Pelodiscus sinensis: one gene and its partners. The protein of the gene in region 3 purifies or fractionates together with the protein of the main gene of each other region. This does not show direct contact. Links are inferred from orthologs where the notes say so. Each region holds a gene or a part of one and is shown on either strand. Other genes may lie near its edges. The genes, in order: LAMTOR3, MAP3K1 and MAP2K1.

Evidence for each region.
Region 1: the proteins of MAP2K1 (region 3) and LAMTOR3 purify together in Homo sapiens (affinity purification with western blotting; 3 studies listed by BioGRID, with this or other methods). This does not show direct contact. The link is inferred for Pelodiscus sinensis from reciprocal best matches to the Homo sapiens genes MAP2K1 and LAMTOR3.
Region 2: the proteins of MAP2K1 (region 3) and MAP3K1 purify together in Homo sapiens (affinity purification with western blotting; 3 studies listed by BioGRID and IntAct, with this or other methods). This does not show direct contact. The link is inferred for Pelodiscus sinensis from reciprocal best matches to the Homo sapiens genes MAP2K1 and MAP3K1.

The regions. Positions count from the first base shown.
Region 1 is NC_134715.1:23,356,220-23,363,973, forward strand, and holds the start of LAMTOR3 (ragulator complex protein LAMTOR3), read right to left. Parts: upstream 3,003-7,754; 5' UTR 2,729-3,002; intron 1,033-2,728; 5' UTR 990-1,032; coding exon 981-989; intron 1-980. UniProt on the Homo sapiens protein: As part of the Ragulator complex it is involved in amino acid sensing and activation of mTORC1, a signaling complex promoting cell growth in response to growth factors, energy levels, and amino acids.
Region 2 is NC_134716.1:95,999,397-96,006,904, reverse strand, and holds the start of MAP3K1 (mitogen-activated protein kinase kinase kinase 1), read left to right. Parts: upstream 1-4,498; 5' UTR 4,499-4,926; coding exon 4,927-5,360; intron 5,361-5,549; exon of another isoform or gene 5,550-5,564; coding exon of another isoform or gene 5,565-5,572; intron 5,573-5,693; exon of another isoform or gene 5,694-6,032; coding exon of another isoform or gene 6,033-6,166; intron 6,167-7,508. UniProt on the Homo sapiens protein: Component of a protein kinase signal transduction cascade. Activates the ERK and JNK kinase pathways by phosphorylation of MAP2K1 and MAP2K4. May phosphorylate the MAPK8/JNK1 kinase.
Region 3 is NC_134724.1:4,697,156-4,704,520, reverse strand, and holds the start of MAP2K1 (dual specificity mitogen-activated protein kinase kinase 1), read left to right. Parts: upstream 1-4,275; 5' UTR 4,276-4,854; coding exon 4,855-4,934; intron 4,935-7,365. UniProt on the Homo sapiens protein: Dual specificity protein kinase which acts as an essential component of the MAP kinase signal transduction pathway.

The DNA of each region.
Region 1 (7,754 bases), on a different chromosome or scaffold from region 3:
TGTGCCCAAGAAATCTCATGATACCATCTACATTTTCTGGTAGCACTTTAAAGACTAACAAATTATTTGTTGTTTAAGTTTATCCTGTACAGACTAAGTAGGCTACCCCCTGAAGCTTTTGAAACGTCATTCTCAGACAGTGAAGGCCTATTTTCCTTTCAAAGTGTTTATAGATGTCTAAGGACTTAGTCCTACAAATACTTTAGCTCATTAGGGTTTCTAGGTGTCCAGTATTGACCCAGACAATCAGGTATTTTCGCCTCCTGTCTGGTAAAAAAATTCAGAAGATACCAGACACCTAAAATGTCAGGTATTTTCTGATTTTTTTCCCGGCCAGGGGGCGAAAATAAGGGACACCTGGCAACCCTAAGCAACCAGGCCCAGCCTGCCTGCTTCCCCCACCGAATACCTCATTCTGCAGGGAAGCTGTCTGGTCCAAAGCAGGGAGAAAAGGCAGAGAAGATGGCCGAAGTAGCGTCGCAAACAGCTGCCTCTCAGAAAGTCATACCTAGGGCGTACTGAGCATGTGTTATGCAACTGAGCATACTCAGCAAAAGCTGCTGTTGCTGTGGCCCTCACTCTGCTGCTATACCTGCAGCCTGTTAAGAGAGGCAGAGCCCAGCCCCTGTTCTTAAAGGGACCATGCAGGGTTTTTTTGTTTTTTTGCGCTTAACTCTCAGGGCCCCCCCCCTTTTTTTGCTCAACAACTTTGGTCTCCCCTGCCGCCCCCCTTTTTTCCCCACCAACAGAATTTTTTCCTCTGTTTTTTTTTGGGGGGGGGGGGGGGGAGGGGGATGGTCGTCAGTATTTTTGGTTAAACCATCTGGCAACCCCATAACTCACGCATAGCTTTACTGCCATAAGTCAGTTCCACTGCACTGAGTGAGGCTTCATAAAGGCACGCCCATATGGATCAGCATATAGGATGGGTCTGTAAAGTAAGCTTTTTAGGGCAGGTAGCATATTTGCAAAATACTTACATCGGCCATGTTTTGAAACTTTTTAAATAAATCAGATGTACTGTCAAAGTTCCTGAAAAATAAGAGCCAACAATAGTCATGCACATAAGCTTTTATCTGCTCTCTTTCTCTTTTTTTGTTTAGTCTCACATAAAATTAAGGAGGGAGCAACATCCCTATTAATTTCTAGCATTCCCTAGCTTTCCTTCCTCTGCCAACGTGAAGAATATAATGCCCAAGGCACCTGCCCAAGAGAGCGAGTTCTGGGCATTGAACTGCTCTTAAAAGAAAATGTCTTACAAGATGCACACAAGCCCTTCTCCAGAGGGCCTTCCTCAAAAGTAGTCCCAGGGGCAATCATGGATCAAAAGCTGCATAAATAAGATAGAGTCTCAGGGCAAGTCTACATTTAAAAAGCTACAATGGCACAACTGTCCAGATGTAGTATTTTAGGTTAAGGTCCTACTATGCTGACAGGAGAGCTTCTCCAGTCCACAAAGTTAATCCACTTCCATAAAAAGCAGTAGCTATGTTCACAGGAGAAGCTCTCAGACAGCACTATCAGACAGCACCAAGAGTTAGGTTGTTATAACTGCATCACGTGGGATGGGGGTTAAGGATCAGAATCCCCTTCAGTATTTGAACCAAGCCAGGTTAGTGAATGTGCCAACCAATAGACCAAATCTGGTGATTAATCCTGGTCACATGCCACCTGAAGCATGATGTGCATATGCTAAGAGGACAACTGCATGGCATAGGGATGTGGATTTTTCATACCCCTGAGCTACATTTTTATGCCAATGTAGGTTTGTAGTGCAAATCTAGCTTCAGGGATTGGGCGCTAAAAAAAAAAGGGGGGGGGGGAAATGAGTGTGAGGTTAAGGTAAGTATACATTATTTCTTGATATTCTCTCTGGCTACGTCTACACTGGCATGATTTTCCGGAAACGCTTTTAACGGAAAAATTTTCTGTTAAAAGCATTTTCGGAGAAGCGTATCTAGATTGGCCACGGGCGCTTTTCCGCAAAAAGTGCTTTCGCGGAAAAGCGTCTTGCCAATCTAGACATGCTTTTCCTCAAAAAAGCCCCGATCGCCATTTTCACGATCGGGGCTTTTTTGCGGAAAATAAATCTCTGCTGTCTACACTGGCCCTTTTGCGCAAAAGTTGTTTGGAAAAAGACTTTTGCCTGAACGGGAGCAGCATAGTATTTCCGCAAAAGCACTGACAATCTTACATGAGGAAAAAAGGAGGGACAGGTGAGGAAAATCTGTTCTATGAGGAAAGATTTAAAAAAAAAAAAACACACAAGGAGCTTGGGGCTGTTGACAGAAAAAGAGGGTGGGGGCTGGTAGAAAAGGGTTGCTAGAGGGACTGAGATCAATCGTTGTCTGTATCCTCTAAGAGCAGCAGAAGCAGTAACGGGCCGAAGGCAGCCTGGCTACGGGGCAGCGGAGACCCGGGCCAGGTTTCCAGAGCAGGCTGGAAGGTCCCCTCCCTGCAGGTTTCTAGCACAGACGGGACAGACACCGGTCAGGCTGGGCCAGGGTTACCTGACCCTACGGGGGGCCGGGAGACGCTCAAGCCCGGGCGTTCCCGCACGGCGAGGGGGGGGCTAGCGAGAAAGGGGCCGCGCCGTGGGCTGTGGCGGCGCTGGGGGGAGGCGGGCCCGACCGGGCCCCTATAGCTCGACTCCCCGCACCGCATAGAGGGAGGAATCAATACAGTAGGCCCTACAATAACACTAGCTACAGCCCCCCTGCTCCCTTACCCTGGTCGCTTCCGGGATCCCCCGCAACAACAGCCCAGGCAGCGAGCGGCCGCTTCTCCTTTAGCCCTCGATCACGTGATGCCCCACGCACGAAACAATCACAGACCTCCCGCCCCACCCACCCCTGCCGGCGTCACTTCCGGCTGTAGCGTCAGCTCGGTCTCCCGTGTAGCTACGGAGCATGCCCGACCGTGAGAGCCGTGACAGGGCAACGCGAGTGGGAGCGCGCAACCACGGCGGCGTCTTTGCCCGCTTCCGCCCCAACGCAGAGGGTGCGGAGGCGATCATGTGACTGCACTTCGTTGAGCCGCGGCCGGGCCCTGGAGGCGTCCAGAGGCGCGCGCGCACCCTGTTGCGGAGCTCGCGCTGTTGAGCATGCTCCGTAGCTACGCCCAGCCCTGGTTGTCAGGCATCGCAAAGCCGGCGGTGCTGGTGCTGCAGGGATCTTGCTAAGGGGGCGGGGCAGTGCGGGGGGCCTGTCTGCTAGGGCTGGAACCAGAGACCATTAGGACTGGAAGGGACCTGGCTGGAGAGTGTCCAGGCCCCTGCCTCAGGGCCCAGCATCGTCTCTAGGCCAGCGGTTCCCAACCTTTTCCAGATGGGGATCCATTTCCACAAGTGAGGAAGACTTGGTGACCCATATTTGGGTCCCGACCACAGGTTGGGAAACCCTAGTCTAGCCAGGCTCTGATAGATGTGTATTCAACCCACCCTTAAATATCTCCAGTGACAAAGATTACATGACCTGTGTTTGTGGGTAATCAAGATGACTCTGCTTCTTCCCTTGGTGCTGTGAGGAACATGCCTAAAAGCTGAGTCTCGGTGCTGCATAAGGGTAGGGAAGAGTGTGCTTAGTTCTGGCTCACACCGAAGCTACCCCTGCTACGGGCTCTGCCTTTGTAGTAAGAACTTGCAGAGCCACACCAGGGGTAGCTTCCGGGGCCAGCACATAGGGTTGCAAGATGATTGAAACAAAAATACCAACCCTCCTCCCCCCCCCCAAAAAACCCACCAGGAAAAAATTCTGTGGGGGGGGAGAAGAGAGGGGAAAGTGAGGGGAAACCAAAGCTGCTGGCTCCCCCAACCCCCCCAAAAAAAGACTCCAAGGACTTAAGCCCAAAAACAGCATGTCCCCTTTAAGGGTGAGTGCATGGATAGGAACAGGGAAGTGGTTGAGCACTAAGACCCAAGGGGAAGATTGCTTCCCTTAGGTCTTTTGGCCAGTAGCTATTTTGTGCCAGCAGCCTTGGGGAACCAGGTAAGCATGGGGGCTGAAGTCAGAGGGGCTAGGGGTGTTGGGAGCTGGGGGGATGCGAGGGAGTGGGAGGCCAGGCACTGAGTGTTTGTAAGATTGCCATGTGCCCAGCATTTTTGCCTCCTGGCCAGGGAAAAATTCAGAGAATACTAGACATCTCAGGTGTCTAATAGTCTGAATTTTTTTTTTTACCAGGCAGGAGGAGAAAATACAAGACTGTCCAGGTGAATACCAGACACCTGGCAACCCTACCAGCACGAGCCAGGACTAAGCAGTCTTGGCTCATGCCAGCCCTGGGACTGCTACGGCTCTGCATTTTAAATATAGTAAGAGCTCACTGCATTTAAAATGCAGAATTGCAGCAGGGGTAGCAAGCGCCCCCCTCATTATTGACTAATGGAGTAGGCATTGGAAATTCCATTGACTACTCATTTAGCTAATTAATCACAACTTAACATCCCTAATGTCCACAGTAGGAAATTTCAAAATAATTAAAAGTAACTCCAAAAATAACAATCAAAATAGCATGTCCCCGACCACACAGGAGCCTCAAAATTAATCCGAGGCAGGCTCCATTGTTGTAGATACGCTACCTCGTCTTAGAGCCCTAGGAAGTACTGGGAAATACTTACTTCAAATTACTCTGGGGAGTAGTTAGTTATTTTGAAATATTTCAAAATAAGTATTCTCCGTATGGAAAGTAGGAGTACAGATTTCAAAATACCCAGCTTGTTATTTTGAAATAATAGGCTTGGTAATGTGGACGCTCCGCTTATTATTTTGAAATATGGGGAGTTATTTCAAAGTAACTCCTTAGTGTAGACCAGGGCTTAGAGCAGTGGTTTCCAACGCAGTGCTCCCCAGCACAGTGTGCCCAATAAGTGATTGGGGCTGGCCCCGCCCCCGGACACATGGCAAAAGGGCAGTGCCAGCCCCGGGCGCGAAGCACATGGGCGGCTCCGCCCCCAGACGCACAGTGCATAGGCTGTGCTGGCCCCGGGCACACAGTGTATGGGCGTCCCTGCCCCTGGGCACGCGGCACAGGAGTGGTGCCGGCCCCAGGTGCGCGGCGCATGGGTGCTGCCGACTCCTGGGCATGTCTGCCCCTGGGCACATGGCACAGGAGCAGCGCCGGCCCCGGTAGTGCAGCGTTTGGGCGGCTTGGGTGCCCGGTATGTGAATGGCCCCACCCCCAGGTGCCTGGCAGCCCCAAAAGGTTGGGGACCACTCAAAAATACATAGGCTCATGAACTTTCCTGAATAAAACCCACTTCATCAGATGAATCTTGGGGAGGAAGATGGTGATATTTTTCAGAGTGCATCCTTTTTCCCTGTAACTTTTGTAATGGTGCAAAAAATCACAGAATGAAGGACCTACCGAAACCTAATGCATGATGCAGTTTACTTAATTTTTATCTGATTATCAGGACAAGAGTGGAAGTTTACTATCAGTTTATGAATTTCTCAGCAAGATTTAAGTCATTTTCTTCTTTTAGTACTCAAGAACAGAATATCCAAATGGAGTTTGTTTGAGCCTGTCATTTCTGATAAGTTCAGACTTTTGCTGTTTACATGATCGTTCCCAGGAAGATTTTTTTTTTTAAAAAAAATCTCCCCAAAATAGCGAACTCTATTTGTACACCACTTTTCTGAGTAGCTCATTTTCATTATCACTGCTGTTCACTCATTTTTAAATAAAGTAGCTTATGTGTCTTAATTATATAAACTGTAGACATACAGTATATTAAATCCAGGTTGGGATCTAATATAAAATTGTAAGGGATGAGGGGTACATATGTGCTTGTGCTACTTATTTATTTTTCTAATTTGAAGAGGAACATTGTTACTTATAAAGAAAGGATACATGTAGAACCATAATAAATCATATGCCATTTTTAACGTTAAACTCAGACATACATGTAACCCAGAAGCACTGAGAACAACGGACAAATGAGAATGAAGGCTGCTCTACAGCCTTAGCTGAGAGAGAGTTGGGTTTTAGCTCAAGCTGTAGAGGCACATGGCTTTAGACACTAAGGTCCCAGATGCTGACGACCCAGGTCCCTGTGTAACAAATGCATAACTAATGAGCAGGATTAGGGGTAAAATATGGACCCTATTAAAATCAAAAGAACTCCCTCTTTCCTGTCCCCACACGCTTTTTTCCGAAAGAGCTCTTTCGAAAAAAGGTTTCTTCCTTGTAGAAAGAGGTTAACCAATGTCGGAAAAACCTCTCAGTTCTTTCGATTTTTTTCCCAAAAGAACGCGATTGCAGTGTGGATGTAATTGAAGTTTTTTAGAAAAAAAAACTAGTGTAGACATACCCTTGGAGACTAAAAAATTATATATATAGTATCATGAGCTTCTGTGCACACAACCCACTTCTTCAGACATCCGAAGAAGTGGGTTGTGACCACAAAAGCTCATGATACTATACACTTTATGACTGAAAGTTGTTTTTTTCAGGGGAAAGGAAAACACGTTTATTGAAAGTAGGCAGTTTTCCTTATGGTAATTAATGGCTGTGCAGAAAAGTCTTAATTTATAAAACAAACCAGCAATATTTTCCAAATACATAAGAATTTAAGATGAAATATTTTAGTAGCTAGATAACTTTGTCTTAAAAAGAAATAATTTATCTTATAAGATCAAATATGTGCCTATTCTTAGTTCAGTATCTACATGAGCTGAGCATAAATAAAACACAAGCCTCTGAATTTAAAACTAGAATGAATAGTTAAAGTTTTCTTTAACATGTAAATAATAAGATGTTTGCACATTTACACACTGAAAATAATTTTATTTTGATATGTCTAATATTACATTAGATATTATAAATAAGGCAAGTCTCTTTAAACTTAACCTTTACATCTTGGAAATGCCATAGAGTTAGACAAAACAAAATAAGAATTTTGTTAAGATACCACCTTCATCTCACCAGATTTCCTTTGCAAGGCTTCCATTACATTATTAGGTGTATTGAACATGATTTGCAAAGCCTAATCACATTTCCCATATTGCACTGCTTTTTAAAAGTCTAAAGAACAAACATTTAAATTCCTTGAGATTTTTAAAGCTTTCCATGATTTTACATTCTCCAAATGTCAGTTTCACAACTGACCATACAGCCAATGCCAGCAGCAAGTTCAGAAACGTCATTTGAAATGTAAGCCATTTCTAACTACCTTCCCCAGTTTAAGTTGAGAAATGCTTTTACTTTGTGAGATTTCAGATTTCTGGGAAGCGCAAAAGGCTATCATTTTCTTTTAAAAACGGACTCTAATGAGAATGTTTACCCACATATTGGGGGAAAAAGTATTTAAAGATTAGTTACACCAGAACCCTCAAATTTGGATGGATAGTTGTAATGCCTAATGGAAGCCCTGTTCTGTGCAAATTTACAGTGGTACAATATTAAACTATCACAAAGTTTGAGGTATTAGCTGGAAAAGAAATATATACACCTATAGACATGCACACACAGTATTCACAAGTCTAGTGGTCCCAAGACCAGCAAACCTTGGTATTTAGTGAAAAGGAATCATGTACTTGCCAGGAAAATTATATATGCAAAGAAGCCTTAAAAACACACATCACATAACCCTTAATATAAGGAATATGTTATGTTTCTGTTCAACATGCTTAAAAGGGAAATTATTTAAACACATTGAAAAAAATTCTTATCTTTAATAGTGAGTAACCAAACAGAAAATGGGAGTCTTAAACCTGAAACTTTCCTTCAAGATTACAAAGTCATCTAAAAGAGGGGAT
Region 2 (7,508 bases), on a different chromosome or scaffold from region 3:
GCTATGTATACTCAAGATCTGAATATTTGAAACAGATGTACTCATTTTTAACAGGATTTCTGTTCATGTTAGAATGCAGTCTCTCTTGGAAATTGTTAGTGGGCTTTATTAGTCATGTTCAAAAGGAGCAAAGCCTTCTTAGATAAGGATTCCTTCATTCTAACACCTAAAATAACCCCAATATAGGATTATTTCCAACAGATACAGTTCTTACCATCTTTTTGAACTGAGAAATTATTTGTCTGTCAGCCAGTGATGGCACGTCTACACAGCAGGACTGAAGCTGAAATAAGCTATGCAACGTGAGCTACGTCAATTGCGTAGCTTAAATCAAAATAGCTTATTTTGGCTTTTGGTGCTGTCTACACAGAAAGAAGTCTAAGACAGAGCACTCTTCCTCCAACTTCCCTTACTCCTCATAAAATGAGGGTTACAGGAGTCGGAATAAGAAGTCCTCCAGCTCAAAGTTATTTTGACATTATGTCGAAATAACTGCTTGCTCCGTAGACACGGACTCTGTTATTTCAGAATAATGTCAGTGTCATGGGGTGTGCATGCCTCACACTGGAGCAGAGGGAGTGAAAACCCTGTGGGCGGAAGAAGCCTCACCCCTTCAACCAGACTGGGCATACTCCAAGTGCTGGGGCAGCATAAAAAGCAAGAGAGCATCTCAGTCTGGGCTGGACAGCAAAGGAGAAGAACCTCCGGTCAGAGCTCCCAAGTTGCAGAAGCCAGCGAGAACCAGAGTCCCGGGAGATGGCTGCTACGCACCCCCCTCGGAATCCCAGGGAGAAACTGCTACCGGGGAACTGGGAGACTCAGCCGCTACATGGGAGGTTGACCTGCCAGAATCAGTAAGAAGTGACCCAGAAAGGATAAAGGAGCAGCCTTTCACAACCAGGTATACTTGGCGTGTTTCGGCTGGATTCCCCACTGAGGGAGTGGTAGACCATTCTGCTGCTCACAGGAGCCTGGGTTGGGACCCCATGGAGCAGTGTAGGCCTGGGACCCCCTACCGGGATGCTTGCTTCAACCCTACTGACTATGGCCATTAAGTCCTACTGCTCTGTAGCAAGTACTACTTACTGACTCTGTGCTGCCCTGAGACAAGGGCTATTTACTGACTCTGGCCATTGGACCATACTACCCTGCGACAAAGGCTACTTACTGACTCTGGCCACTAGGCCACACTACTCCAGAGAGAAGGCTGACGACAGACTCTGACTGGTAGACTGTACTGCCCTGAGAGAAGGACAGCACTATTGACCTTGGACACTAAGCTCAACTTTCATAGACCACAAGGGGGTATTTATGGACTACAGAGACAGCTAATGACCCTGTGGGCAATCAGGAGGTGTCCACACCCCTGAATATCTTCACTCCTATGATGGGATGTGCATATGTCACCATAGTCTGTTATTCCAAAATAATGCTGCTGTGTAGACATAGCCTAAGAGCTTTAAGTAAGAAAGGGAGGAGGGGGAGTTTTTAAAAGAAAGGAGAAGTGTTAGAAGAGCAATGGTAAAGCAGAGTCAAGAGGGCACTATCAGTCTCCAGGTGAGTTACCACTCAATTGTCTGAGTTTTCTATCATGTGGCGGTGCAAACACAAAAGAGAGATGGCTATGGAACATGTTCACTTTCCCTTCAGCTATAGCCCATCTAAGCACTTGTAGACTGAATGTGAATGAGCTGTCTATGAGCATATTTTCACAACCAAACCTACCATGTCAGAGGATCCAGTTATCATGAGGTGTTACACTTTGCTTGTATAGGCATGACCAAAAGCTGTTATGTTATATAATTCATTTTCTCTCTCATCTTTACTTTGTGCAGACAGTATTGCCTACTTTATGTATTCAGAAGCATAGAAGATTCTTAACTGCATGTTGTTTCTATGTGTAACTGTGTTTGAGATTAACTGTGTTGAAAACTATGCTGAATTCATATTATTTTAGGTATTGAGAAAAAGATGAGCCTTCAGCTTGCCAAAATTTACCATATTCCCATATAGAACTTTATCTGTGTATAACAGCCACACTCTTTCAATTGTTGCAAGACAACAACTTGAGGATCTAGGCCAAAGACTTCAGTTTCATAATCAGTCTTGGATGTTACCACTTACAATTTAGGGGAAATGTGCACATAGAAAACGATTAACTTCATATTAGTCTATAGTACCGCAGATTTTAAATTAAATTAACTCATTGGAGCGCAATAGTTTGAGAGTTCCTTGATTGCAGTGCTTTTCTTCAACACAAACAGGTTTTCTGCAGAATGAATACCTGCAGGATATGACGCAATGGCAATCTTATTTCTTCAATATATTTCATGCTTTGTACATTCATGCTTAATGATACTCATTAAATGCAAAATAATTTAAACCTAAACAAGTAGACAAATATTGATGTTCCCCTGGTACAGAATATATTTCTAATTTTGAGAAGTCCATTAGTTTCAGTGTTTCCTTTCAAAGTACAAAAACTCATTCATCTAATCTAATACCTTCAATACTTACTTCATTTTCAGTTTCTTTTAATTGATTTCCTATATATGCTTAGCTATTAGAACGACTTGCTTTTAACTATCTCTTGTTGCTTAATAAGTTTAAATTGATGGTTTAAAATTCTTCTCTAAGTTTGTATGTTCTGTGACTATTTTGTCTGTTCCATGTGTCTAAATCTTCTCTCTGTCCCTGTTTTAACTATCAAGTATGGTCTTGGTAGCGGGATTACTATAAGGTGGTTGCATAACTGTCTGGAACCCCATTGTCAGAGTTTAGTTATTAATGATTTTAAGTCATGCAGGAAGGGCACAAGTGGGGTTCCACAGGGATCTGTTCTGAGACCAGTTCTGCTCAATATCTTCATCAACAATTTAGATGGTGGCATAGAGAGTATGCTTATTAAGTTTGCAGATGATACCAAGTTGAGAGGGGTTGCTTTGGAGGATAGGGTCATAATTCAAAATGATCTGGATAAATTGGAGAAATGGTTGGAGGTAAATAGGATGAAGTTTAATAAGGACAAATGCAAAGTACTCTACTCAGGAACGAACAATCAGTTTCACACATACAGAATGGGAAGTGACTGTCTGAAGGAGTACGGCAGAAAGGCATCTAGGGGTCATAGTGGACCACAAGCTAAATATGAGTCCACAATGTGATACTGTTGCAAAAAAAGCAAACATGATTCTAGGATGCATTAACAGGAGTGTTGTGAACAAGACACGAGAAGTCATTCTTCTGCTCTACTCTGCATTGATTAGGCCTCAGTTGGAGTATTGTGTCCAGTTCTGGTCACCACATTTCAAGAAAGATGTGGAGAAATTGGAGGTCCAGAGAAGAGCAACAAAAATGATTAACAGTCTAGAGAACATGAGCTATGACGGAAAGTTGAAAGAATTGGGCTTCTTTAGTTTGGAAAAGAGAAGCCGGACAGGGGACATGATATTTTCATGTATCTAAAAGGGCGTCATGGGAGAGGGGGAATCATTCTGTTTTGCTTCTGAGGATAGAACTAGAAGCAATGGTCTTAAACAGCAGCAAGTGAGGTTTAGGTTGGACATTAGGAAAAATTTCCTGTTAGGGTGGTTAAATACTGGAATAAATTGCATAGGGAAGTTGTGGAATCTCCCATCCCTGAAGATTTTTAAGAGCAGGTGAGACAGACATCTCTCAGGGGTGATCTAGATGGTACATGGTCCTGCCAGAAGGGCAGGGGACTGGACTTGATGATCTCTTGAGGTCCCTTCCAGTTCTAGTTTGGCTAAAATCAAGTGTAGTATCCTCAACCTGTCCTTTTGGACACACTACCCTGGTGCGCTATGACTGAATTATTTTTGGAGTAGGGAGCTGGATTTGCCCAGCCCTATGCATCAATCTGGTATTACAGTACCTCCAGGACTGGTGCACTACCATTCACTTGCTATACTACTACACAGTAATGTGTTCTCTCAAAACATTTGCTTGCTATTTTCATTCTATGATTCTAAAACAACAAGGAGTCTAGGGGCACTTCAAAGACTACCATGCTACCATGTTTTTAGGGTATTAGAACATAAGCTGTCATGAGCTTGAACTCACTTCCTCAGATGCTGAAAAGAAAAAATAACAACACAAGGGGAGGGAAGAAGGTACAGAGCTGGGAGTGCTAATTAAATCAGAATGGATAGGGCTAATCTCCAAGTGTGGTGAGGAGGTGCGTGTACTTGAATGGGAAACTATCTATTGTAATGCGAGTACAACTCTGGTGGAGGGGAGTTACCTCCAAACGAGGAGCTTGTATTCCCCACATTCTTAATACAACCCTCTCCCCTTTTCTCCGGCTATGGGATACGTTTTGCCGAGTGGAGGGAGATCTTCTCAGTACAGTGCAGGCGCGGGGGTGAAAATGTTTGCTTCTCAGCTGGAGTCCCATCGCCCCCGGCATCTGCGCCAGGCAAGGTAGGTGAGGCTCTCACTGGCCTCGCTACCGCCGCGGAGAGAGAAGCTCCCCAACTGCACGGAGCTTTCCGCGCTCTGGGGGAGCCGGGCAAGGACACACCGGTCAGAGTCTCGGGATAAGCCCCCCAGTCCGGCGGGCAGGAACCGGCCCCTTGATCTCCGAGGAGTGAAGGAGGCGGGGTCGCCTGCCGGGTCCTGCACCATCCAGCCCCCCCGCCAGGTGCTGGCTCCTCCGGCCCAGCCCCTTTCCCCAGGCAGGAGCCAGCCCGCCCAGCGTAGGTACGGCCAGGTCCTGCCACCACCTGCCCGCGGGCGGCGTCGAGCGACCGCTCCCAGCCTCACCTTCTCAACGCCCGTCCCGCCTGCGCTCAGTTCCCACCCCTCGTACGCCTTTGGCGCAGCCCACGCCGCTGCCGCAGCGGCCGGAGCGCGGCTCATCCCCCGCCTCCCTGCTCCGGAGCCCGATGTGACCCGCCAGAGAAAATGGCGGCGGCGGCGGGGACTCGCACCTCGTCGTCGGGATTATCCTCGGGCACCAGCGCGGACGCCGCCGCCGCCGCCTCCGGGAGCCTGCAGAGCGGCAGCGGCGCGGGCAGCTTGCCCGGCAGCGGCGGGGGGCTCCTGCGGGAGGCGGGCGGCGGCGGCTGCCGGGAGCAGCGCTCAGACTGGAGACGGAAGCAGCTGCGCAAAGTGCGGAGCGTGGAGCTGGACCGGCTGCCCGAGGCGCCCCTCTTCCTCGCCGGCTCGCCGGAGTCCCCCGAACCGCCGCCGCGCTGCCTCGCCGGGGGCTCCGGCCCCTCCAGCCCCGCGTCTTCCCCCGGCCGCTGCGCCGCGCCCCACGAGCCGCTGCCGGACGGGAGCCCCGTGGGAGCCGACCCCGCCGCCGAGAGAAGGATGGAGCCGTCTCCCCCTGCCGGGTGAGCGGCGCGGGGCTGGAGCGGGCGGCGGTGAGGACCCCGGCGCCTCACACGGGGCAGCCCGCGCAGGTGTTGGAGGTGGGGGGCCCGGCGCTGCTGGCGGCGTGGGATAGTGCGCGCCCGGAGCCTGGCCCCTGCCCCTCCTCGAGCTTTCGGGTCCCCCTCTCGGTGGAGACCCAGCCCCGGGAGCCTGGCGCTGCGCCCATGGGCAGGTAGCGGGGACGTGCTTTTCGGGCCCGGATTTGCTTGCAGGGGCGCTGGGATATGCGTGGGGGACGGTGTTATGGGGCAGAGGGGGTGGCTGGTGTGAGATCGCCCCCGACAGGCCCCCCGTGTTTGTGGGGAGCTGTCATCTGTAAGAGAAGGGGGGGGAGTAGGGGACTGGCCAGTAGCTTGTTGTGTTCAGTGCCTCGTTGACTTATGCGGCAGGCGCTGCAGGATAAAAGAGCTAGGATTGTATTTCCCAGGACTGTGTAGCCTGTGCATCAACTTCTCATTTGTGTTACCTTTGCCCTGCCAACCCGTTTGTGTGTGCTGCTTTCTGGAAGTCGTGACTCTTAGTTAAATGGGAATCGCAGCTGTTGGGGGGTGAGGGGAGTGATTTATTTCTGCCTGAGCTCCGAGAGGCTTTGAAGTTTGAATTTGCCCTGGTGGTTGAGGACCCAGGACCGGATGTGTCAGCCATTCAGTTTCAGTGCAGTTAAACCCGTTAACTCTTCCAAGCAGTGCAGCAGAGTGCATTTGATTTTTTTTTTCCTGCTAAAGCATCCTTCCCCCCGGATTCACCTCACCTCCCCACAAAAAAAGTGTGTCTGCTTTTCATAATCTATATAGTACTTATTCTAAACTACTTAGATTTTACATTTGCCTTTGCTTTCCCATCGGTATAGTTAAACATTAATAAAAATGAATCCTTTCTTCTGTGGCTTGTTTCACTTGAAGTTGTGGAACTGTTTTGGTTTTGCTGAATAAAAGACAGTTTACAAACATGAAATATCTACTCTGCAAAAGTGTAGAAAGTATAATGTGTTTGCAGTAATTATACTGGAGACTGCATATTGTGTAAGATGAGACGTGGTATCTTTATAGTGTTAGTCCTATTCTGTATTTTATTTGATAATACTTGAGATTTTATAGAGCTTTCCAATTTTATAGTTATTGTGATGCAATCCGGGGCACAAGTTCAATAACTAGGATACATTCAATATGTATCTTACACACGCAAAGGCATTCAGAATTGAAGCTACCATGAGCATATTTTAAAATGCTTTCTCATGTACTTCTGAATACGTTGTACTTAATACTTTTAACGTACACTTGCTAGCATTTAGTATGTGCATAGGTGAGAGTAATGGTGGAGATAGAGCTTGTAATCTTTATATAGATTTAACAATTACTGTAGTTTCATAAGGATTTTTATATGAGACTTCATGTGTAAATAGTGAATTGCAGCGCTTGGCGGTGAAGACTGAGTGTTGATAGGTTTACTTCTAAAGTTATTTTACAGAGAAAAAGAGCTTTTAGTTGGCTACTCAACTCACAACAAAGAAATCTGTCTTTCCCATTTGTGGTAGAAGGACATTCAAAAAAAGATTTCCATTCTAGAGAATGCTTTACTAATATGGCAATCTAAAATCAGCAATTGTTTGGGTATCTAGATGTATTCTGTGCAATATTTGTGGACTTTCACATTGCTGTAAATATAAACCAGTTACTTGACAGTAGTATGATACCAGCAGATGAAGCACCAGTGTAGTTATAGAAAGATTAATAGGAAATCTATGTTCATGAAGTTACTTCAAGGAAAAGATGATGTACAAAAGTTGGCAGTTGACTTGTTTTTATTTGATTTTGTATGATTATCTCTAGAGTTTTGACAAGGTATGAAACTAAAATATACTTTACTTCATTGTTACCTCATATATAGGTGTTACCATTGTAGCAATTAAATAATTCTGTACCACATAAGAGAAAAATAACTAGCATAAACAACATCAAAACATGCCTTTAAAACAGTAAAAGTTGCTTACAGTTTTCAGTGGGACTTATTGCTAGTTGTTATGGGTTCAGGAAGGTCAACATTTGTCACATCAGGCAATCACAGCTAAAATATTGACTCCATTCTTGCTTGCCAATTCCATGGATTTA
Region 3 (7,365 bases):
CAGGAAGGTTGAATTTAGTGCTAGTCTTATCAAGGTGGAGTAGAGTAGTTGATTTTAAACCCACTTAAGGTTGGTGGAAAGGGCTTGATGATGTAGACATTCATTATACAATTGACCTAATGTGGCTTACTTTGACCTAACCTCATAGTGGAGACCAAGAGTGAGAAATGGCTACATCAATTTCTCAGGGACAGATTAAGTCCACTTCTAGTCTGGAGAGAATTGTCACATGGGTTATTGATGGTAAGCATATCCCATTTGTGTTGAGGACTAGTGCATCTAGATCAAAGGCCAGTTACAACTCAGGACTGTTGAATTCTGTTGCTGGCTAGAGCAAGCTATTTTGCCTTTTGTGCCTTTACATCCCTGTGTGTAAAAGAGGGAACAACCTCACTGAAGCCTTTTCTTTACTAAGAAAAAAAGTAAATTTTTAACATGGTAGGTAGCATGTCAAATCCTAATGTAGCCTAGACAAGTTGTAATTTTAACAGTAGCTGGTTGAGAGAAACACCACACTCCCTACTTAGGTTTATCTTGACCAGATAACACTTGTTGGCACTAATACTAGCTTGTCTACACTCAGATCCAGATGCTCAACTGATGTAAATTGACATAGCTGCACTCCTTGGCTCCAATGGTTGTGTGCTGATTTACACCAGCTAGATATCATGGCTAAGTTTCTAAAATATTAGTTAGTATGTGTTAGCTAAGTAGAGTGTCAAAATACACATTTTTCCCTAGTGTAGATAGCCTAAAAGGCACATTAGGCTGAGAAATGTTAAGAGTGAACATCCTCCTGCCCACGCATCCATTGTATAGCTCAAATGACATGCAAACAGTGATCTATCACAAAAGGGCATATTCAGTAGCTTGCCTCATACAGAAAAATCTCCATAAAGGGTTGTCAGAGCAAAGATGCATAGTTGCTTAGAGTGACACTGTCAACTTGAACTGTTTGTAAACGGATTATTTTCAAAATTTTAAGTTTTCAGATATCCCAAATTTAAAAATAAAAATTCCTTTACACATTTGTAATGGTTTTTCTGCTTCTTTGTTGATGTTTAATGAGGTCTTTTATTCCAATAGTAAAGCAAATACAATACAGGAAAAGATGACATGTAGCTATCAATTGTAAAGCAGAATAATTTTCTTGATAACTAATACCTTGTAGATTGGCAAATCATTGCTTGAATTATCTCCTAAAATTGCATTTGTGCTATAATTAAAAGCTACATATTTATTTTGTGTAACATTTTGTTTCTGTTAATATGAGGACATCTGGAGTGGTGGAATGTGAACAATGCTATTAGCTTTTACATTAAATGTGTTATAAATATCACCAAAGTGTTTACGTAAGGGAAGGGAACACACTCAGCAGCCATGGTGATTTCATGCTAAGACTCAAGCTATGTATTATCTGTACTAAAAGAATGCTTTGGAGACTGATATCGTAAGCATACTTACAGATAGCACCCATTTAAATGTTGTCACAAAGCCCTACAGATGTGTTAACTGGATCCCACAGAGGGGTAGCTGAGTTAGTCTGTAACAGGAAAAACTTAAAAAACAACAAATAGTCTGGTAGCACGTTAAAGACTAACAAAACATGTACATGGTATCATGAGCTTTCCTGGGCACAGCCCCCTTCTTCAGATGTGTTAGCCATAAGGCTTTACCTCGTTTATTTAAAAAAAAATATTTTCAAAGCCTACAGTTTAGCCAGTGATCAGTCTTAGGAGAAAATGTGCTACTGGAAAGATTTAATTGTCCCAAGACTGCCAGTATTTCAAAATTAAACTGTTATTGAAATATATACTGCATACATTCTTTGACTTCTCACCTTATAACTTATTAAAGTAGATTTGGGCATTGAATCCAGGGGCTCAACTGTGAGCCCTTCTGTGTTCTCTTGAGGATTTGCCTGGCCAAACCTGCCTGTGAACTCACCTGCCAGGTTGCAACACGACTCACTGAAATTTGGTCCAGCCTCCTCTCTGCCACATTAAGCTGTTGGTACCATGTGAACATTTCCTAGAGCGCCCCTGTCCGGCCTCTCCTCTTTTGGCTCACGTGGGCAAAGAGTGAGTGGTGAGGAGCTGAGAGATGGTCACTGCCCTGGGAGGAGCTACCACAGTGGGAGGAGTAGAAGTCTTCACTAGCCAAAGGGCTGGTACAGATTACCTCCCTGCTTCGGAACAAAGGGGAAACAGGAATTAGGAGTTCGGAATTAGAGTCCTGGTCTACATTTAATAGGTAAATTGCCATGGTTATGTTAGTCAAGGATGTGGAATCCCGCCCCCACAAGTGCTACAAGTGTTGTAGAAGTGCTGACCTAACAGCCAGTATAGGCACAGATATGTCAATAAAAGAATACCTCTGTCCGCATAGAAAAACATTTAATCATGAATTCATGACCTTGCATGAATGGTCTATGTGACATCACACGGTACGGAGCAAAATAGCATCTTGTATATACTAGGTATTGCTACAACCCCAGTGGTGCAAACCCATTTGGGGGTCTCAACCCACATTTTGAAAACTACTGATTTAAGTTTTAAAGCTATTAAAGGAAGCAATGAGGTGAGATTCCTTATATATCTGGCTTTGAATGATTTTTTTCTATAACTTACACTCTCTCAGTCTATTCTTGTTTTTCTGGCAACATACCACAGAACATTATTGAATAAATGGTTATACCCCACTAGAATTTCAAGAACACGTGATGATTAAAACTTCTGTGCATTGCAACTGTTCATTAATTTGAAATATGTCCTGATATTTAAAATGAAGAGTTTTTTAGAGATACATATAAAACAATTCAACATCACTTGTACATAAATACAGATTGTAACTTTCATTTAATATGAATTCGTATTGAGTATTTATTTGATAAAGTTAAAGCAATGGGTTAATAACAGCAATTTTTGCACCTGATCTTCATTCTCACTTTAATATATATAATGAGTTATTTTCTAATGGTATTATTACGGTTTGATCTTTATTTCAAGTATTTATGGGGATAAATAGAAACCATTAATACGCAAATTCAGGCTAATGTTTTAATTATAAATACAATACTTTCAATATATAAAGTATGCAGAGTAATGATTTTATATGGGGATTAAATTAAGTTGTTCTTCATGTAACATTAACACTGTAGGCTGATATGCAGAGTAAGTATTTATGGTAGACATTTGCTAATTTAATTGCTACAGACCTCATAATTCCATTTCACAGAACTTCTGAAAAATTATAAACAAAAGGTTACATACTCATAGCAGATTAATTTACTAGATGTTGACAGTTCCTTTTGTAATCCCCTTTTAAATACAAAGCAGGCCTGTACGCAAGGGGATAGGAAAGCACCCCCTTGAGTCCCCCAAGTAAGTATGCTCAGGCTGGCCAGGAGAGTGCTGCCTGAGCCTCCCTTGCCCATGCTCTGGTCTGCTGGGAGAAGGGGGGCTGATTTCCCTGCTTACTTGGGGGACCAGAGGGGGGTGCATTCACACCCTTGCAGACCACATTTACAAGAAAGCACCCCCCACAGAAATTTCTGCCTATGATCCTGTAAAGCGCACAAATGATTAAACGACTGTCCTCTAGTTGTGGTGCAAGTAACCTAATGATGTTCTAGTGACACAGAGCCTAAGATTCACCCTTACATATTCTAACGGTTTGGAACATTTTAACCCCTCCCCTCCCAAACTGGCCAAGAAATGATTGGAAGGCAGGGGAGAAGAACAGCAGAGCTGTGAGTTTCCTGTTGCCTTTCTAGTTACAAACAGAGTAGGTCATGATGAGGAAAAGTCTAAAATGCTCTGCTTTTTGAAATATGCATCCCATTGCTCTTTCACAGAGTAGACCCCATCCCATGCACAGCTCTAGACTGTCCTCCAATGCTCATAGTCACAACCTCCCCATGAGTTCTACACTCCTAGCATCTGAAGAAGTGGGTTGTACCCACGAAAGCTGGTGATACCATCTACCTGTTTTGTTAATCTTTAAGGTGCTACTAGACTATTCGTTGTTTTTAACCTCCCCATTGTTTTGCTCCATTCTGGTGACTTCCGACGGGAATCCTGTCCTGCTCTCACCCCCCTCTGTGTCACCTGACGATCCCCTCCGTCTCTTTTCGAGCCGGGGCTGCGCGTTTTGCTCCTGGCTTGTGTCTGACGATCCCCTTTCGGGGCCCAGTTCTCAACCGGAGCGCGCGTGTGAACCGAACGCGGAGTGACTCCGGTGCGTGTACACGAGGAAGGGGGGGATGGGAGGTGGTGAGAAGGGAGGGAGAGAAGCCCCGAGCTCTCGTGGCGTGGCCGCAGGGAAGATGAGAATCCGAAGCAGGCCCGCGTTTGACTCAGAACCCAGCCCCGGCTCCCCAAGGAGCGAGTCCCCGGCTCGCCCCGGGCGCACACCTCCCCCGCGCACCCGAAGCGAAACTCCGGGCAGAGGAGCAGGCGGGTGCTTGCAAAAGGCGGCCCTCCCCAGTGCCCATGAGCAGCGGCTCCACACTTGCGCACTGGGGCGGGCCGAGGCTTTGCACATGCACAGTAGCGAGCAGGGACGCGGTTTGAGCTCGGGCAGGGTCCGCTCTCCCGGCGCCGCTCGGGGAACTTCGGACTGCTCAGGCGGGGAGCGGCTGCCGGCCCCGGGAGCCGCGCTGAGCGCCCGGAACGCGGCTGCCGGCCAGGGAGCGGCCGCCGGCTGACCGGCGCAGGAGCCCAGAAGCGCTAGCAGGGAAGATCGCCTAGTGCGGCGGGAACTGCCGGAGGAGCCCCGCACTCTGCCCGGCGGGAGGGAGCCCCCGGAGCTGGGCATTTTCGGGAACTGACGAGCCATTCTTCTTACTGCAAAATGCCTAAAAAGAAGCCGATGCCAATTCAGCTGAACCCGGCTCCAGATAGCTCCACCATCAATGGGACCAGCACTGCAGAGTGAGTACAGCCTCCCTGGGGCTTGGGTGTTACTCCTGCCTTGGAGGAGAGAGGGGTGGGGCAGATACAACCCAAGATTCGCTCCCCTGCTGTGTCTCTGGGGGACCGTGCTCCTAAATCTCTTAGTCTGGGGATAACGGGAAACATTTCTGCACATTCTCCAGGACTCCAGCAAAGCAAAGCGAGACGATGGTGCTTAACACGAGCGCCTCAATCTCTGTGTCTAAAAAATAAAAAACACAGGAGGTGTTACAGGGTACTGTCAACAGGATCTTTTTTTTAAAGGCCACTGTTACAAAAGGTTCTGTTAGAGCAGCCTTTCATTATCAAGGCTTAATTAAAAAAAATCAAAATAATCCAGGGTGGGTTTTTTTTGCCCCCTTGTTAATATTTGTGTCTTTTCAGAAAGGACAGTGAATTTGGCGACACAAAATTCTGTCAGATGCATAAAGTAAACAAGGTGAAAAATAATTTTATAACTTCAGTCACAGTTTTTAATTCTGGTAGATACAAACATTTTAGATGGAAATGTTATTTCCATATTAATGGTATCTTTTACACGTGCATGTACTATATGATAAGTACTTAGCAAATGTCAAGTACTTTTTTCCAATAGGAATATTTTATATATGTAAAAAAGAGTAATTTGCTCTGGAAATCAGAAAGTCATTCCTCCTTTTTATTCTATAACAGACTGCAGTCCATTTTAGAAAATCTTTTCTTTCAGTCACCTCAGCTGTCACATTTGATTACAAATAATACTCATGTGGAAACAAGATGCTACACTTTTTGGGTATAATGAAAACATTGCAAAAAAATCAAGAGGGAAGTACCGACTAGCTGATTTGATCCTTTTTTTTTAACAACAATAACAAAGATTGCAGTCCTTAAAATTATGGGTTACCTGTGAATTTATGGGTAACAAAACATGCTTGCTTGGGAAGTCTGTATTTAAATTATCTGTAGTGTAAAAGAATGAAGAATTACAAAAGAGTTTGAGTTTGCTAAAGGCAACAGGTTGGCACGCATCATTTCATTCTTAGCCTGAGGTTATGAGAGAGAGAAACAGAGGTGTTGAAATACCTACAATCCCTGGAATACAGGTTGCTATCCCAGAAAGGTCAGTGTGACCCTTCTGCTTTGTTAGGGAAATTAAATTAAGTTTGTGTGTGGGTTTTTCAGAGGACATCTGAAATGGAGGTTCCATCAGTTCTGTTAATCATGCGGGGCCGATGCCCCGCAATTGGTGACGGGTTTTCAAATGAGCTTGGTTGCCATTGTTACCTATTTAATACTCTAATTTTCAAACTTATGTAGGAGCTAGTAGCTCCCACTGTGATATTTATAACCAGATTTTCAGAAGCACTCAGTGTCCATTGTGCTGATCTTCATTACAAATCTAGCCAACCACCCTGGTGCCTTAATGGGAGCTGATTTCTTCTGAAAATCTGTCTTGGACAGCAGGTGCTGAACTCTTCTGAGAAGTTTGGCCTAAGTGTCACCTGGGTTCTGCCCTGGATTGTGTTGTAAAGATTAATAAGATACATATCTAAATTTTCCTGTACAGGGATCTTCATGGCTGTTACAAACATAATCTGATTTAACATTAAATATCTGTGAGTGTGGGATACGGTTATCCCCATTTTACAGAGAAGCTGAGACACAGGCCAAATTTATTTATTTTGACACCTAAAATTAAAAAGCAGGTATCCATTGCATCTCCCCAATGTTCTTTCTTTCAAGGTTACTCATTTTAGTCCCAGAATTCCATACAACATTGCAACAAGAGAAGTGAGTGGACTCCAAATTTGAATGCAAGCTATTTACACCAAAAACAAAGATATATGAACCTGAGGTTATACAGAAAATGTTATTTGTACAAAAAGCCTGAATCTTACAACATTTTTCAGTTTTCCTGCAGTAATCATTTGTATGTGCCTTCCTCCCCCTTGAATCTTTGTTATATATTACATCTCAGATTTAACCCTCGGGAGGTTAAAATGTATGCTAGGTGCTTTTGATGACATAAATAATACAAACAGCAAATCAACAACCTGCCCTTACATAGCAAGAATTCAACATCAATCAAAAACACTCATCCTCCCAACAAATGCCAACTCTTATTGTGACACTTCCTGTATGACTTAAGATGCATGAGGCAGAGCTGGGAATGCATCCCAAATCTTGCTCCATTTCTGTGCCTTTTGAGACCAGATTATACTACTTTTTGCCTTTTCCCCTAATTCTTTTCCAAGTACTGCCGTGTCCTGATTCGTTAATGCTTTGTGCTGCAAAGCTGCCTGGATTTCAGTTGTGTTGTGTGCATATAATATGTAAAATTTTTGGAATTCTACAGACAGGTGTTATGTATGTATAAGATTATTAACCTTTTTATGACAGTTCATTTACTGGTTTAATGTAGTCCTGGCCT